3 linked regions of the Rattus norvegicus genome follow. The protein of the gene in region 1 interacts with the protein of each later gene in a pairwise test. Links are inferred from orthologs where the notes say so. Each region holds a gene or a part of one and is shown in the gene's direction. Other genes may lie near its edges.

What was found.
Region 2: the proteins of Egln3 (region 1) and Foxj2 interact in binary tests that used the Homo sapiens proteins (3 or more experiments, as listed by UniProt). The two-hybrid records come from large-scale screens. The link is inferred for Rattus norvegicus from reciprocal best matches to the Homo sapiens genes EGLN3 and FOXJ2.
Region 3: the proteins of Egln3 (region 1) and Atf4 interact in a two-hybrid assay, tested with the Homo sapiens proteins (2 studies listed by BioGRID). The link is inferred for Rattus norvegicus from reciprocal best matches to the Homo sapiens genes EGLN3 and ATF4.

What each region holds. Positions count from the first base shown.
Region 1 is NC_086024.1:77,407,423-77,413,169, reverse strand, and holds the start of Egln3 (prolyl hydroxylase EGLN3), read left to right. Parts: upstream 1-2,154; 5' UTR 2,155-2,340; coding exon 2,341-3,045; intron 3,046-5,747. UniProt on the Homo sapiens protein: Prolyl hydroxylase that mediates hydroxylation of proline residues in target proteins, such as PKM, TELO2, ATF4 and HIF1A. Target proteins are preferentially recognized via a LXXLAP motif.
Region 2 is NC_086022.1:157,716,897-157,722,853, forward strand, and holds the start of Foxj2 (forkhead box protein J2), read left to right. Parts: upstream 1-2,362; 5' UTR 2,363-3,131; intron 3,132-3,552; exon of another isoform or gene 3,553-3,659; coding exon of another isoform or gene 3,660-3,765; intron 3,766-5,957.
Region 3 is NC_086025.1:113,682,872-113,688,461, forward strand, and holds Atf4 (cyclic AMP-dependent transcription factor ATF-4), read left to right. Parts: upstream 1-1,809; 5' UTR 1,810-1,993; intron 1,994-2,532; 5' UTR 2,533-2,624; coding exon 2,625-2,844; intron 2,845-2,919; coding exon of another isoform or gene 2,920-2,954; coding exon 2,955-3,778; 3' UTR 3,779-3,868; downstream 3,869-5,590. UniProt on the Homo sapiens protein: Transcription factor that binds the cAMP response element (CRE) (consensus: 5'-GTGACGT[AC][AG]-3') and displays two biological functions, as regulator of metabolic and redox processes under normal cellular conditions, and as master transcription factor during integrated stress response (ISR).

The sequences.
Region 1 (5,747 bases):
GGAGTCTCAGTAAGGAATCACCTACATTTCACTTATCATTTAACTGAGGCTGGCTTGCAGTTTGAGAGATCTAGTCCATCCTTTTCATCGCCAGAAGCATGGCCACATGCAGGTCGATATGGTCCTGGAGAAGCTGAGTTCTATATCTTGATCCAAAGGCAGCAGGAAATGGCTGTGCACCCCTGGCTGGGGCTTGAGTTTCTGAGATCTCAAGCCTGCTCTCTCCCACAACACACTCTGCCAAGGCCATACCTCCTGATTGCTAGTCAAACCACCACAATGACTGTTTCAGGTACAATGTGAGATCAATGAAAAGCTGACTAATATTCATCCTAAAGTGACTCGGGTTAATGGACAAATATCTGAAATAAGTAGACAAAACTTGGATTTTTCCCTTCTGGTGCTCAGCCTCAGAGCCTGTCTGTGCCCTCTATATAATCATGAACTTTGGTTTCTACCAGCCACAGTATGTCTGACTTCCCTACCACACTCAGTGCTGGCAACCCTGAGTTGAGTGGCAGGTCTGTGGTTGATTAGTAAATGCCCTTCAGGTAGGGATGGTGCTACAGGATAGACTCCCTTCCTAATCGGCACAAGTTTTGGATCTAAAGTCATCAAGAACAGCATCAGGCTTGAAAGAACAGTAGTTCTAGCTGTGACTACACTAGAAGCCACTGTGCTCTAAAATTATGGAAATATTATTTAAATATTAAGTTAATATTTCCACAGCTGCCTATCCCAAGGTGTCCCTGCAGATAGATTTCAAGAGGGTCAGAGTGGCTCCCAGAGACATGGGGGTTCAGATAACAGTAGGGAAACGGCCTTTCATTCTTTGGAACTCATTTCCATTCTCTTCCCAATGAAGATAAATTACTCTCCAGCCTTGGCTTTGTTTGCCACTACTGACATGGGACTAAGAGAGCTGTCCTGCAGAAGTTCTCACTGTCCCCCTCCAGTGGCCGTTGAGGTCTTAGACCTCTGCTCGATACTGTCCCAGTGAATAGATACCCTGGGAGGCTCCTCAGTACCTCTTGCAAAGGGTCCTGTCCTGCTGGCTTCCTGTCTAAAATCCCAGACGGTGTTTGCGGGGCCTAGGTTCAGATATCAGTGTCTCAGGAAACTATTTTCCAACCATCTATCATGTGCTGGCATCAATGTTCCAAGGACACTGGTTTCTATCATCCTAGTGCTGCTGTGGGCTTTTGGACAGTTTCTTGAAGTTAGGGCAATTTGAGCCTTTACCCGAAGGAAAGACACCTCCTCCTGGAAGAGGCCAGCTGAGCACAGACAGGGCCCCTGTTCTCCATAGAGCTAGCTAGGTTTCTTCAAAGCTTCTTACACCCTCCATGGTTGACTGCCACTCCCCAAGGACCTGTTTGTCCTCACCAACTACAATAGAGGCTTCTTCCCAGTCTGTCAGCAGAGGGGCCATTGTTTTGGGGAAGAGAATAAAACCAAAAAAGGCTGTCCATAATAAATGATGCTCGAAAGACCCGTTTAGTTTTTCTTTTGACTTAAATGAAAATCCAAATGTGTAAAGATGTGAACTGACTCCCTCCCTCCTCCTCCTCTTCTTCTCTTTCTCTCTCTCTCTCTCTCTCTCTCTCTCTCTCTCTCTCTCTCTCCCTCTCTCTCACTTGGAAGGAAAGGGCATAAGAAATCTGTGTAGACACCAGCTTACAGGTAGATATTTAAGCCTTTTACATAGAGTCTAGTGCTCCCTTACAAGTCCAGTTGCTGTGGTAAAAGCCAGAGAGACCTGGAACAGTGTTTCTTTTGGGGAGCACACGATTGATTTTGAGGGAGAATTTCAGAACCTTTTAGTAAAAAACTTGAGTATGAACATCTCCCACAGGGCGAAATACAAAAGTCTGCAGAATTTGGCAACACTGTCCCTTCCCGGAGTGCCTCCCTATCTCCCTGTCCTCCACCCCCTCCTCAGAGATACACACCAGCCTGGCACACCGGGTGGGAGAAGGTCAAGGGGATTGTTTGTTAATGGATCAGTCAGTTTTGGTTAAAACAGAAGAGGAAAGGAGAGGAAGGAAAGACATCAGATAGGTCTTAGACCTCAATGTTTAAGAAATAAAGTCACCAGAGAGGTGACTAGCCCAGAAAGTGGCAAAAAACTGTTCATGTGAATCTCAGACTTGAGATCCAGGTTTTCAAGTTTGTTAGGGGATTTAATGCAAATCAATATGCAAACAGAGAGCATTGAAAAAAAAATCCAGTCCTTTCTCCGGTCACACACAGGTTAGCTAATGTGGAGCTCGCCCAGATGCTCTGCAGCACCAGCTCAAGGGGAAGGGCCAGGAGGAGGGCAGTCCCGGGGGCGGGACCATGACGTTGAGGTCAAGGCGGGGCTTCCTCTCGTTCCTCCCCGGGCTGCGGCCGCCGCGGCGGTGGCTCCGCATCTCCAAAAGGGGCCCTCCGACTTCTCACTGGGCCAGTCCGGCGCTGGGTGGCAGAACTCTACACTACTCCTGCCGGTCTCAGAGCGGGACTCCCTTCTCTTCAGAGTTTCAAGCAACTTTCCCCGCCTTTGCAGCTAAAGTGGCTCGGGGACCGTGGCTGCCGCAGGTGGTAGAGCCCCCGGCCCGGCTCTCTGCATCTCCGCTGTGCGTTCGCTCTGGGCAAGCCCTCGGTGCGTGCACCCTGGGGGTCCCCCGCCTCGGCTCTGTGAGCGAGATGCCTCTGGGACACATCATGAGGCTGGATCTGGAGAAGATCGCCCTGGAGTACATCGTGCCCTGTCTGCACGAGGTCGGCTTCTGCTACCTGGACAACTTCCTAGGCGAGGTGGTGGGCGACTGCGTACTGGAGCGAGTCAAGCAGCTGCATTACAACGGGGCCCTGCGTGACGGCCAGCTGGCGGGGCCCCGCGCCGGCGTCTCCAAGCGGCACCTGCGAGGCGACCAGATCACGTGGATCGGGGGCAACGAGGAGGGCTGCGAGGCCATCAACTTCCTCCTGTCCCTCATCGACAGGCTGGTCCTGTACTGCGGGAGCCGCCTGGGCAAATACTATGTCAAGGAGCGGTCCAAGGTAGGATGCGTGCGTGTGCCCAGCCGCAGCTGCGCCGCAGGGGACGGGAAGCCTTCGTTCGGAGTGTTGTGTCACCTTGGCTGGGCTGCATCGAACTTTGATTTTTAACCAAGAAGTCAGCTTGCCTTATCTGCCTTACTTGCGTCCCCTCCACCTCCCGGCCTAACTCCTTAAGCAAAAGTCCACGTTAAGGGGCTCAGGTGTCTCGTGATGATGAGCTTCTGCTGACTCTGAAAGAATTGCTCTGGTTTTGGTGATGACCTCAAGGACTACTGGCTGGTGGAGGGAAAAGATATTCCAAACACTGCGACACGCGTGTCCATGATCTGAAGTGCCTGCTTTAAAGCCCTCCGGTACTGCCCTCCACAGTAGCTCACAGAGGCACTCTTAACTCTACTAGAGGCAAGTGTAATTTTTGCCTTGTGTCAGTTGGCTTGTAGAGTTAGGTAGGGTGGAAGGGAAGAGTTTAATGCGAAAAGGTTAAGTAAGACTCCACTTTTGCGCGCAGCCTTTGAGCCCCGGGGCCCAGAATTCTTAGACTCCTCTGCCCTAGTGAAAATTCTCTCCTGTGCCGAGCCCCACGCATCGCCTTTTCCTATAAACTCATGGCAAAGTCCACTCAGACAATCTGATAAGGTTCATGAAGAGAGTGGAGAAGTACCTCTGGGTAGAAAGCTTGCTTTTGCTCACGTAGCCAGTAATGCGGCAGTGGATGGTGATGATTTATCTTGAAAACATTTACAGGTAGATTGGCAGGTAGGCCAGTAGGAGGTGGAGGAGTTGAGACGGTGCATGTAACGTTTCTTTGGGTTAGTCTCTCTCCTGACCATGTCTTCCAATAAGGATAGTCAAACCCTCTCTCCAGGAGCAATTCAGAGAACTTTGCCCATCTGTTGTTGCTGGTCAAGGGACTCTCAGAATCATGAAAACTTCTTCTGGTGCCCAGCAAGGTAGAACATGGCAGCTGAGGAGCATTGACCCACGTAGAGTAGGGAGCTGCAGGCCACTTTCAGACTCGGAGGATGTGAAGGGACTCCGTCGCGCGTCCTCATGAATAGATCCGAAGAAACTCTGAGAGAAAGTGTTGATCTCTAAGTGTTAGTTTGATTTGGAGGTAGTGCAGAGTTACCTGAATTCTGTTAGAGAGTGATAGTAGGGTGTTTTTTTTCCCTTCTATCAGTTTGGTGGTAGACTGGATCATCTGTGTTTTCATCAGGAGTGTTTCTGCACTAAATAAGCTCGCTGATAACCCTGGGCTTCACCTCTGTACTGGTAAGCACTTTCGTGGCTTTGACCTGAAAGGCCAAATGACACTATCAGTTTGGTAAAGTTTCTTCCAAGCTTAGCTGTTAAAGAATTTCCCCCGAGAGGTTTAGGAATAATGTTTCCTCTCTGAGGGAGATTAGAATTGATGGTAAGTCGGGTCCCTAACGTAGTTTATTATTTAGCTTTGACTTAGTGGATGACAGGAGGACCCTGAGCTAGAATTTAATTCAAAGGGAATGGGAAAAGTACTTAGTCATCCAGGGTGAGGAGAGCAAGCTCCGTAGATCCCAGGGTGAACCAAGTAACTTTTTAGCTAGCTGTGAGAATCTGTCCTACCCACCGAAGAGGCATCTTGTCTTATCCAGGCTCTGGCTGTCTTGACTGTTCCTGGCACAAAGCTCTCCTTCACACCCTTCACAAAGTCCACTTCTAGATTGGTCTATTTCCTGGCTAATTAGGACCAAAACTAAAACAACAACAACAAAAAACCAAGTTTCAACAAACAACTATTATAGTTTTTTTTTTTTTAATGTAAAACTTTGATTCACTTCTGTAAGGACGCCCATGGCCTCGGGTCCCTTACTTGGAGTTTACTGGTGATACAGTCATTGTCAAGGCACATCCTGTCTATAGGGGCTACCCTTGCTTCCTTTCGCTTGGCCTGTTTTCTTTCTTACATGCCTTTCCTCCCTCGGTGTCCTTTATTCTGTACTGCTTCCCACAGTACTGATATAGATAGACTTAATTTCCTGCTTATGGCTCCAGGGGAAAGAACCAGAGAGAACTTGTACTGATTTTAAACTTATTTATAACTTTTGATTGAGGGAATTTCAAACATACACACATGTAGACAGGCTAGCATGAACTCCCCCCAGGCTATTTTAGCAACTGCCAGTTTGTACATTTAGTTTAAACTGTTTTTTTTTTAAATAAACTTTAAATTTCTATGCATTGCACTTATGGATTCGTACACCCTCATTACATTTTTTTTTTCTTTAAACTGGACTTGTAAGGGTCATTGGATAATATGAGCAGGACTACAAAGGTGTTGAGAATAAACAAAAATATTTACTAGACCTAAACCATGGGAGAACTCTTAGTAGTCATGTCCCTGTCATGTGCGTGCATGTGTGTGTGTTAGAAATTGTCTGCTTTGCCTTTGTAGCAAAATGGTGTTTGGAGTCCCTCTGGGGAATGCAGGTCCCTGTGGTCCTGAGGAGTATCATGGCGCCCCCTACCCTCAAGTGTGGTCATTGCTTTCCAACCAGCAATGGTTATCTGTTACTGCTCCCTTCTGGAGATCTAGACCATATCCAAGATAAATACTGCTTATAATTTGCTCCCTTTTTCTTTGGCTGCCTAGAGCTTGCAATGGCTGTTTTCCAGAGAACGTGTAATTTATAGAACCAAATGTCCCTTTGCCTGAAGCCTTCACT
Region 2 (5,957 bases), on another chromosome or scaffold:
TATTGGTTCCCCTAAGACTGTTACAGACGGTTGTGAGCTTGCATGTTGATGCTGGGAATTGAACCTGGGTCTTCCAGAAGAACAGGTGCTCTGAACTTCAAGCCAAAGCTTCACCCCAGGATCAAAAGTTTAAAGTCATCTTTTGCTACATAGAGAGTTTGAGGCTAGACTGGGCTAGAAGACCTATTTTATAACAATGACCCCCTTCCCTAACTCATTACCTAGTGTAGGCTGGCCTTGAACTCCTCATCTTCCTGGTTCCTCTTCCCCAGTGTTGGGACTATAAATACTTGTCCTTATATAGGGTTTGTGCTTTTGTGGTACTAGGGTTGGAGCCCAGGGCCTCATGCTTGCCAGGCAAGCACTCTACCAACTGAGCTATAACCCTAGCCCCATCTTTTTCATGATGTAGTCTAGTTGGTCTTGAACTCAAGATCCTCCTCTGTAATCACAAGTGGGTGCCACCAGGCTGGAGAAAATGAATCTTTTTCTTTTCTTTTCTTTTTTTTTTTTTTCTTTTTTCTGTTTTTCGGAGCTGGGGACCGAACCCAGGGCCTTGCGCTTGCTAGGCAAGCGCTCTACCGCTGAGCTAAATCCCCAACCTTTTTTTTTTTTTTAAAGGGCATCAGATCCCCATTACAGATGGTTGTGAACCACTATGTGGTTTCTGGGAATTGAACTCAGGACCTCTGGCAGAGCAGTCAGTGCTCTTAACCACTGAGCCATCTCTCCAGCCCATGAATCTTTTCACATGGACACTGGAAGTGTGGGGAGAGAAGCGGCTTTGTTGGGGTGTTCACTGACTGGCAACTTGAGAATAACATGTTTTCCCAGTTCAAGCCAATGATATATAAGAGGTTTAGAACCTGGTTCTAAGGCCCTTTGGGTTCAACACCTGATACAAAGTAACAGTACTAATTACATAATGGTGTGACTTACATGAACTCAGACACAAACAATATCTTCGAGCTGTACATACACTCTAAAAGGCATGACAGTGCTGCATGGAATGGCCAGAAGAATCAGATGTGAGAACATATGAAGAGTGTGAAGACTTTATGCCTGCACGTTGTATGTGTAATGTAGTTATATGTACACAGAACTTACGTAAATGGCAGTAGCATATATTTAGCCAGAAGACAAATGACATTGCTATCTAAAGGGAGACGTCAAACTGCAATCTTTTTGAGTAATTCAAATATCAAGCGAACAATTTCTTTTGCCTCACCATTTTATAATAGAACACAATTGGAGAAAAGTAAGCCGGAGGGTGATATACCTAAGGGTTTGTTCCGGAATAGCGTGACTGGAGAGGTTAAGAAGAGATGGGCTACTCTGGTTGTATTTCCTGTCCCGGGATGGAGATTATTCTGTAAGAAGTAGAGGGATGTGCTGAGAGACCGTTCTATCTCCCTGTGGCACTCAGGATAACATATTCTACAGAAATATCACTTGACTTTGGCACAAAGGTAAAAAAATGACATTTTATAGGCATGCCGAGGGAAATGAATAATTATGCTATGCACCCTTCGTACACTGTACCGTTTTAAAAAGTCATCTCGCAAATCATTTCCTTTGGTGACTGCGACATCCATATTAGTAGGCAGGCCAGAGTATCATAGTCCCTTCTTCAGAGACTATGCTTCCAGAAACTAGGGCCTTGCACATTTGCAGAGCCGAAACTAACGCAACACCCCATTTCCCGATGCTCATTTCCCTATGACAGACTCATCTATCTTTTTATATATCTACGATCCAATCTTTCACTGACCCTCCAGGACAAGAGTAAACTTTAACTTCACTCCCGGCTCCATAACCCTTTATAAGCTGTCTGGAAGAGAAAGAGGAACCATCAAATGCGTTTCGAAGAAAACTGGGAATACTTGTCTTAGGCGTGGACCACAGCACAATGAGAGGTGTGCGTGGCAGTTAGCGTGGACGCTGGCCCCGCCAGTGCCCGGGACCGAGGGCGGGCGACCCGCGGGCTGCGGGGCTCTGCGCTCCTCCTTAACCCGCGCCGGGAGGCGGCGGCCGCGGCGGCGGGAGGGGGAGGGGCGCGGAGCGCGGCGCCGAGGCCGGGGAGGAGCCGGGGCCTGCAGCGGAGCCGAGCCGAGCCCGAGCCGAGCCCCGACGCGCTCCGTCCGCCTGCCGGCTCCTGGGAGCCCCGACCGGCTGGAGCCTCAGAGGCGGCAGCGCGGGGAGTTCCACGCGCCGGGAAGCGCGGCGGACAGGGGACGCGACCAGGGAGGCGCTGCCGCCCGGCAGCTGGTAACCGGAGCCGGGACCGCGGCCTCCGGGACCCTGCTGCCCAGGCCGGCCGGCCGGGCGGGAACGGGAGTGCGAGGACCCCACCCTTGGGGCACCCAGTGCCCGGACCTGCCCCTCTCCCTTGGGAGGGGGGACCCTCCCCACTCCCGGGACAGCCAGAAGAGACCGCCGCAGGGCACGCGGCTGTCCCTCCCACGGTGGCTCTAGAGGAGACCCCTAGAAGTCGGACCTGAAGGACCTGGAGTGAGACCTCACGCCTCAACGCACGCCAGACAGTTCGGGACTTTTGAGGCAGAGAGAAAGGGAGCCATGCCTGTGGAGTAGGCACCCCGCGTCCCACCCGGGACTCACCGCGGAGAGGCGTCCTGACACGCACAGCCAGGACCCTCCAGGGAACCGCCAGGAATTGGTTCCAGTTTGCTGGAGAGTAGAAGACCTCGCCCCTCAACTTCCGTGCACCCAGACAGTGGACCGGGGCCGAGCCCCTCCGCTCAGATCACCAACTGACAGAAAGAGCCCTCAGCCCCTGAAAGATCCAGTTTGGGGGGGAGGGGGATTCCCCCAAAGGGGAGGAGACAACTCCTGGCTGGGAGAGGCTCCTCCCCTCCTCCCTAGGGTAGCAGGCAGGGTGTGGGGGGTGTGCCATCTTCCCCAGGTAGGTCCTCCCTCTCCCCCTCCTCCTCCTTCGATTCCTCGTCCTCAGGGGACTCAGTTCCCCGCTCCAGCCTGGGAGGCTCCGCCAGGCACTGGAAGAGTCACTGAGGATGTCACCTGTCACCTGCCACTAAAGAGGGGAGTCCCTGCAACCTCAAACTTCAGTACCAGGTGGTTTCCTCCAGCGGCCGGGGGAACCTTGGAGACAGGTTAGTGCTTTCTCTTCTGTAGTCTTTAGACACCAGTAGGTATGGGGAGCTGAAATGGTGGATCTTAGGGTTCATTGGAAGAGAAGGTAGAGTAAAAGCCCAGACCCCGGGGAAATGTCTTCTGATGGAGCCATTGCACTGGAGGCCACATGTTGCTTCAGAGACTCTGAGAAGTGGCCTTTTTAGATTTTGGAGTCCAAAGGGATGGGTCATTTGCAGTCCCTAGAGAAGCTGATGCTCTGAACTGAGAACAGACAACAGGTGCGTTTTCAGGACGCCGTGGTGTTAGTAACTGAGGACACAGCACAGCCAGAATCCCACAGCACTGTCCATTTTTGGGTCTTGCCCTCTGGTGAGTGGACCTGTAGTAAATGACCTGCAGTCGTGGCGGACATTTTATATATTGTATTGTATTTTCCAGGGCATGCCTAGGTCGGTTTAATATTCAACAGGAACCTTCTTTCCAGTCTATCACAATGACTGCTTGCCTGACTGACTGGCAACCGGTCCCTACCCACTCTATCTTGGATGCCAGGAGGGAGGCCCCTACTTCAGGCTGGATATCTGCCTCTCTGTGTAAAAGCCAAGGGGAAATGCGAATCCTCATGTCCCGGGATGAGAAGAGACTGTCAGGGTAATGACATTGGTGGGCTGGAGTCTTTCTAGATACCCAATCTGCCTTAGCACCTAATGCCATTTGCTGACAGTTCCTCAGGAAAAAAAGTCAGATGTCTGGAGGAAGAGAGGACAGTGCTTCACAGCTGCCCTCCACTTGTCCTTCTGTCTGCACCAACTGACCACCAGGAAGGTCTGACCTCTGAGGTGTTTAGAGTTTCCTTCAGGAAAACACCTACTGGCCCCATCCTCCCTTGTTTAGTTCTGGGTCTCAGGAAACTTGAGTTGAATTTTTTTCTCCCTATTATAGGAAATCCTCAAAATTCAGAATCCTTAGAAAAAGAAGGGGAAAACGTGCTAAGAAATCTTCTTGGGTGCTAAGAAATAAAGCCAGGGCTTTATTTGTAACAGAGCTCTGACCTTTCACCTGAGGTCACTCTGCACTTCCTGTCTGGTGGTTGGACCATGTCTCATCTTCTGTATGGGGCTTCCTCCCCTTGGGTTTTCAGTCTCTGCCTCCCTTTATGGGCCATGGGTGGATTACCTGGCTTGCCCAAGTCTCTGCCTGCCTACTTGATCTTGGAAGGTCTGTGTAGTGGCGATGCATGAAACAGGGATGTAGTCCACAGTTTCAATGGCTATGCTGTAGAGTGATGTGCACATTTCTCAGTGGGAGTGACTGTGGCTTGGTGTCTGTGTTTTGAGTATGTACATGGAGAAGGCTATCCTGGTGGTTTTTAGACCGTGCTTTTGATCCCTTAGAACCATTTCTGGCAGGCCTGTAGAAGCAGGAGACTCTCTGCCAAAACCTAGAAGAGGTGAGGGTGCAGATAACCAGTTGGGAGGAAAGCCGTCCCCCTCACCCACCAGTGGGAATTCCCATGACACCCCCACCCCACCCCCGCCCCAGCCCCAGCCAAGTCATCCCAAGCAGCTTGGCAGGCCTTTCTCAGGTTGGACCTGTTTTCTTCCAGGACTGGTAAGAAAGCTTCATCCTGAGATCCTTTACTTCCATGTCTAGAACGGCCTCTCCTACTTTTGAGAGATGTGTCAGCCATAGCAGCGGTCTGTTTCTTACAAAGCACTTTACCAGATGCTGGAGTACGACTTCTGAGTGGCAGGCACAGTGTGGGCTGTGGTGTCGCTACTCCAGGCAGACCACTCATTCAGCTGGCTCTGCTACAAGTTCCGTAACTCTCTTGCCTCTCAGTAGTCAGTGAGGGGCTGCTTGCTTTTTTCCCCAGCCTGTATCTTATGACTGCACCCAAATCCCCTGAAAGACAGGTGATGATATTTCCCCGCTTCCTACATCCTCTGAGGCTTCTTGATCTTAATCAGACCTGGGCTGATGAACTCAAGGGAAATGTTTGAAATTCTGATGTCCTGACAGCCACGGCAACAGACTTGGCAACACGCTCGCTGCACGTCTGATGCTCTGTGATCCGCTGTAATTTTTGACGTTCTCTTTTCTTGAAAGATTTATTTCTCATGTGTTTGATATGTATATGAATATTTTCTCTACACATATGTACACCAGAGGAAGGCATCAAACAGAACCCATGGAACTAAGGTTCCGGATGGATGTGAGCCACCGTGTGGGTGCTGGGAATTGAACTCAGGACCTCTGGAAGAGTAGTCAGTGTCCCTAACGGCTGAGCCATCTCTCCAGCCCTATTGTTCTCTTTTCGTTAAAACTCTTTGGTGTTTGGCATTGAACTATGGGCTGCATCTGCGTGTTAAACACACTGAGACATACACCCGGCCGACTGATACTCCTGTTCTTCCTTCAAAAGCAAAGTCTCACTTACTAAGTGCTTTAAACATACTAAGACATAGTACATAATCCTCACAACTCCTGTAGGAAAGTTAATCTTTATTTCAAAGAATCTTAAACTGGGCGGTGGTAGCACACATGTTTAATCCCAGCACTTGGAGGCAGAAGCAGGTGGATCTCTTTGTTCAGGGCTAGCCTGGTCTACATAGTGAGTTCCAGGACATCTTTGTAGCCAGGGAGATGTAGAGAAACCTTGTCTCCAAAAAGAAAAAAATATATTTTTTTTAACTTTTTAGGTTGTGTGTGTGTGTGTGTGTGTGTGTGTGTGTGTGCGCGCGCGCGCGTGCGCACTATAGCCATGATAGTGTCTCACTATATAGCCATGGCTAGCCTTAAGCTTACTATTGGGTAGCTCAGGCTCGCTCAAACTCATGGTC
Region 3 (5,590 bases), on another chromosome or scaffold:
GCATGTGATAGGAAACAGCTGTCAGGATAATTAGCTGTTAGAAAGGCGGCCATAAAAAGAAGTGCAAGCTTGTGCCATGTGGAAGGTTTCTGGGGAGACACAGTTTTGTATAGCAAGAGGCAGTCATGTATCACAGGTTCAGGAGTTTAGCAAATACATCACGGGGTTACAAATTCAGCATAAGTTAAAAAACATTTGTAGGATACATTACACTTAGGGGACAGAAACATGTAAGGGATGTCTACTTAACAATATAACTGTGGCTCCTGTTTCTGTTTCCAGAGCAAAGGGAGGACATAGTTATCCTTTGCATGGAGAGACTAGGAAACTTCTGTTTGTGTGCACATGTACTCATGACTTCTTTGTCGATAGAAACATCTCATTATGTAGGCCTTGTGCGTTATTTATTTAGTTGCTTTAGTCTCAGTAAATAATAATGAAAGGTCCTCTGAGGAAGGAAGATGAATCATGGAGTTAGGGAGAGAGGGACTTGGGAATTAGGTTTGAATTAATAAATAGCAATCAATAACCATGTAATCAAGGATGACCTTGAACCATGGTGCCCGAGTGCTAGGATTGTGTGTACTGGAGTACTTGGCTTGCAAATAATTACTGAGCAGTAAGGGGCGGGCACTGTGCCAATTGAGTGGTATTTGTATGAGTCACTTAAAAAGACGTGGAAACTCAAAAGATTGCAGGCTGGAGTTGGGAAGAGGGCCTCTCAGCACTTCCAAAACAGCATCCTTTATGGTGAGTTGTCCTTGACCAGTACTTGGGGCTTCCAACCACTTAAGCAGCTGCTCACTCACCAGGATGACTTCTTGGTAAGGCTATACCAGGAAGTTAAGACTTGGGAGTTAATCAGAACTACTCTAGGGCTTGAGATCCAACTGAATAAAACACAATATTAAGGGAACTGACCCTATACAAACCAGCAGTGATGGGCATATTTTAGAGTAGGTTAGATCTAAGGTTAGGTATATTTTCCCAGTACAGGATTCAGAGGAAAGATGCAGGGCTGGAGGAACCGGAGTATCTCCCAATAAGGCCCCAACATGAACGCCCTGTCTCAAAGTGCGGTCCCTGGACTGACAGGATTGGACCAGGTAACTCCAGAGGACCTTTCTATATGCCTAAAGCTCTGCCCATTTGGTTCTGAGAACAACAAATACAGGGAAAGAGGGCTTTCAGCCCAAGTGTCACTCCTGGAAAGCTGTTTGCTCCGTGCTGGACCAAAGCTGCCCGGGAGCGATGCCGGAGAGAGCAACTACATTGGGGTGACCTCTGATGAGTCGGTAGCTGTAAGAGTCTGGTACCCGGAACCTCTGGTGGCTCTTCCCGATATTAGTGCTCCTAGGGCGCCCAGGTTCAGAGCCAATAGAAACTTAAGGTTTAGATGACTCGTCACGCCTGGGCCAATCAGCTCGACGCGCGCTCCTACGGCGTCTCGCGTGATAACCAGGCAGCTTTGGCTTTGACCGTCATAGCTTTGGTTAGGTGTCTCTCCACGCCCTGTAAGACACCGGAAGTTCCGTAACGAGCGATCCCTCCGCACTCCGGAACGTGACTTCAGTTGGTCGCAAACCTATAAAGTAGTGCACTTTTCTTCCTTCATGGGGCCTTCAGGATACTCTGTAACGCCCCAGTTACTCCCCGAGCACAGCGGAGAAGGGTTTGGACGGGCCAGAGCGTCAATGGGATAGGGTTAGGTGGAGCGGCGGCGGGATCACGTGACCACGGTGGGAGGATACGGGGTGTACTGCGTCCCTCACCGATTCTATAAAAGGCGGGTTTAGGGCGTGTCGCCGCCATTTCTGCTTGCTCTGTGGTAGATGTCTCTCTGTACGCTGTTCCTTTCCTCTTCCCCTCCCGCAGGGCTTGCGGCCACCATGGCGTATTAGAGGCAGCAGAGCCTGCGGCAGCGTTGGCCTTTGCAGCGGCGGCAGCAGCACCAGGCTCTGCAGCGGCAACCCCCACCGGCTTAAGCCATGGCGTGAGTATTGGGCCGACTGCGCGGGCGTGTGCTTTGCTGTGTTTGGGTGCGGCCTGGGCGCGTTGACCAGCATACGCGGCTTTACAAGCGGCCAGACGCGTCGGCCTTGTTTGGGTGGCCCCGCAACGCCGGCGCACACGGGGAGGGTTGGGCAGGCGGCGTGGAGGGAGTAGTGCCTAAAACCCTGCTACTTCCTCTTCGTCCTCTCTTAACTTAGTCGTCTCGCGCCCCCCCGGGTTCCCGGTGTCATTCTGCGAACGTGGCGAGGCCAAGATGGCGGTGGGGCGGGGGGGGGGTGTGAGTCACGGGGGCGGGGCGCGACGGCCTTGGCCGTATTAGGACTTGAGGACAAGCTGCTTCCTCCGGGTGGCCGGTGAAGCAAAGCTAAGCCTCCATCTTGTGCAACCCGAGCTGGCGGCTGGGGAAGCTTACACAATGGCCTTGAGCCCACGTGCTCTCCATTTAGAAGCTTTTGGGATTTTGTCATCCAGCATCCTAGATAGAAAGATGATTGAACTTGCTTTTGGATCCTTATGCAGGCTCTTCACGAAACCCAGCAGCAGCGTTGCTGTAACGGACAAAGATACCTTCGAGTTAAGCACATTCCTCGATACCAGCAAATCCCTACAACATGACCGAGATGAGCTTCCTGAACAGCGAAGTGTTGGCGGGGGACTTAATGTCCCCCTTCGACCAGTCGGGTTTGGGGGCTGAAGAAAGCCTAGGTCTCTTAGATGACTATCTGGAGGTGGCCAAGCACTTCAAACCTCATGGGTTCTCCAGCGACAAGGCGGGCTCCTCAGAATGGCTGGCTATGGATGGGTTGGTCAGTGCCTCAGACACCGGCAAGGGTGAGTAGGGAGGACACCTGCACCAGTGTGCTCTTTTCATGTGGGTTTGGTGTTCTAAAGGTTTTCTGCCTCTAGTATGAACCGTTCTCTCCTGAAATTTTTTTCCCCAGAGGATGCCTTTTCCGGGACAGATTGGATGTTGGAGAAAATGGACCTGAAAGAGTTTGACTTCGATGCTCTGTTTCGAATGGATGACCTGGAAACCATGCCAGATGAGCTTTTGGCCACGTTGGATGACACATGTGATCTTTTTGCCCCTCTAGTCCAAGAGACTAATAAGGAGCCCCCTCAGACAGTGAACCCAATTGGCCATCTCCCAGAAAGTGTAATAAAAGTCGACCAGGCTGCCCCCTTTACATTCTTGCAGCCTCTTCCCTGTTCCCCAGGGTTTCTGTCTTCCACTCCAGATCATTCCTTTAGTTTAGAGCTGGGAAGTGAGGTTGATATCTCTGAAGGAGATAGGAAGCCTGACTCTGCTGCTTATATTACTCTAACCCCTCAGTGTGTAAAGGAGGAAGACACTCCCTCTGATAGTGACAGTGGCATCTGTATGAGCCCTGAGTCCTACCTGGGCTCTCCCCAACACAGCCCTTCCACCTCCAGGGCCCCACCAGACAGTCTGCCTTCTCCAGGTGTTCCTCGTGGTTCTCGACCCAAACCTTATGACCCACCTGGAGTTAGTGTGACAGCTAAAGTGAAGACTGAAAAGTTGGATAAGAAGCTGAAAAAGATGGAGCAAAACAAGACAGCAGCTACTAGGTACCGCCAGAAGAAGAGGGCTGAGCAGGAAGCCCTCACTGGCGAGTGTAAAGAGCTAGAAAAGAAGAACGAGGCTCTGAAAGAGAAGGCAGATTCTCTCGCCAAAGAGATTCAGTATCTAAAAGACCTGATAGAAGAGGTCCGTAAGGCAAGGGGGAAGAAGAGAGTTCCTTAATAGGGTAGTCAGGTGCTTTGTGCTTGTACATAGTCTTGTGATGCTGTGTTTGCTGTAATAAATTATTTTGTAGTGAAAGTAGCCATGGAAGTTTTCTGTGTCATTCTTTCTAATAGACTGCACAAGGTCTGGGTTGAATACGATAGCTACCTGGATGAGTTGAGCTGTTCAGGTAGTGAGACAGGTAAAGACTAGCTGGAGGGAGGGGGCTCTGGGTTAGTGAGGGCCAGCCCAGAATTGCACCTGTTCATACTGGCCTTGTGCCAGATACCTGCTGTGTAAGTACCTAGATAAGGTACAGTCCTTGAACACAAAGAGGATTAGGTTTCTCTTAGGCTTAAGGGATACAGCTACTATTTCCTGTGACAGGTGGCAAGCCCCACTCCAACCCTTCAGTTTGTTACTACAGATCCTCCCAAGGCGAGGTAAAAAGCCTACCATCACCCTCAACATTATTCCATTTGGCCCAGGGGCAGCTTAATCCAGCACAAGGATATGGTGGGGGGAGGAAGGGCCTGAGTGACAGCGGGGCAGAAACTGGTGGAGGCCCTTGGAGACAATGACTAACCTTCACTTGGCAGATGTTCTTTGTGCGTGAGAACTACAGCTGTTCCACTTCTATGTAATGTCACATGTCCACCCTGGCAATGCTCTAAACAGGGTTTCCCATAGCCCAGGTTGACCTTGAACTTGATATGTGGCCAGGGATGACCTTGAACCTTCCAAGTGCTGGGGTTATAGACCGTGTGTCACCACACCTGATCTGTTAGGTGCACCCTGAGGTAAAAGACCCAAAGAGTCAGCTAAGATCTAGCCACCCTCACCATGGTGACTTACAGCCCTTGCCAGGTATTGACAAAAGACTGGAAGTACTGTTTAGCCAGCTCAGACTGGAGCTGTTCTGGGTGCCCATTAGTTGGCAGAGAATGGCCTTCAGTTTTCCTATCACTGGTGATTGCTCAGCATGCACTACAAACTATCAGGGATGCCAACTGAACACAAGATGAACAGCTCAGCTTTTGTGAAACTTGCCTTCTAAGACAGAGGTCCAACGAAGGGCTGGCAGGCTGGGTGGAGGACCTGATCTAGGAGGAGTGTGCTGGGGGCAGGGAACAAGGTGGGGCCCGGGTGTGGGTAGGATGATACAGCAGCAGCCCCACTTCTGCGGCAGGCTTTTGGCTCACCCTTGTTGGCGAGCAGAAGCTAGGCTGTGTTGGCCAGTGAGGTGGATGTAGAAGACCCAAGTAAGGAGTCTTCTACTGCAGCGAGACCCATGCTGAGCACCTACTCAGGCAGTCGACAGGATGGACTGGGGATCTTTGCCATGGTGGACGGCAGGTAAATGCTAAAACCAGCATAGAAATAGACCAGCTCAGGTTGGGGGAATTGCAGACTGCTGGCCTTTAAGAAGGGGATTGTGTATAGAGGGTGAATACCAGCTCATCTATTTAGAACCTGACCAGCTTCAGTTCACCTTGACCTAAGCTCTCCCTACCCCACAAGCAAGACCACTCTAGGCAAGTCTGGTGTCCTGGTGGCTGGCCCTGAGTCCCCAAGACCACCAGTGGCAGTCCTGCTCCACTCTATACAGCTCTCTTGACTCACAGAGGACAGGCAGTTGTGGATGATCCAGTCTATAGCAGAAGCCACAGGAAGCATGGGGGTGGGGCAGCAGCTCTCCAAGTCCAGATCATCAAATTTTTTAACTGGCCTAAATGTTTGATCTTTGCATCTATTTGGGACCTTAGTTGGGGTAGGCTTTCCTTTGCTAGACCCCCATTGAGCTGAATACAACAGGTGTTCTTATATCAG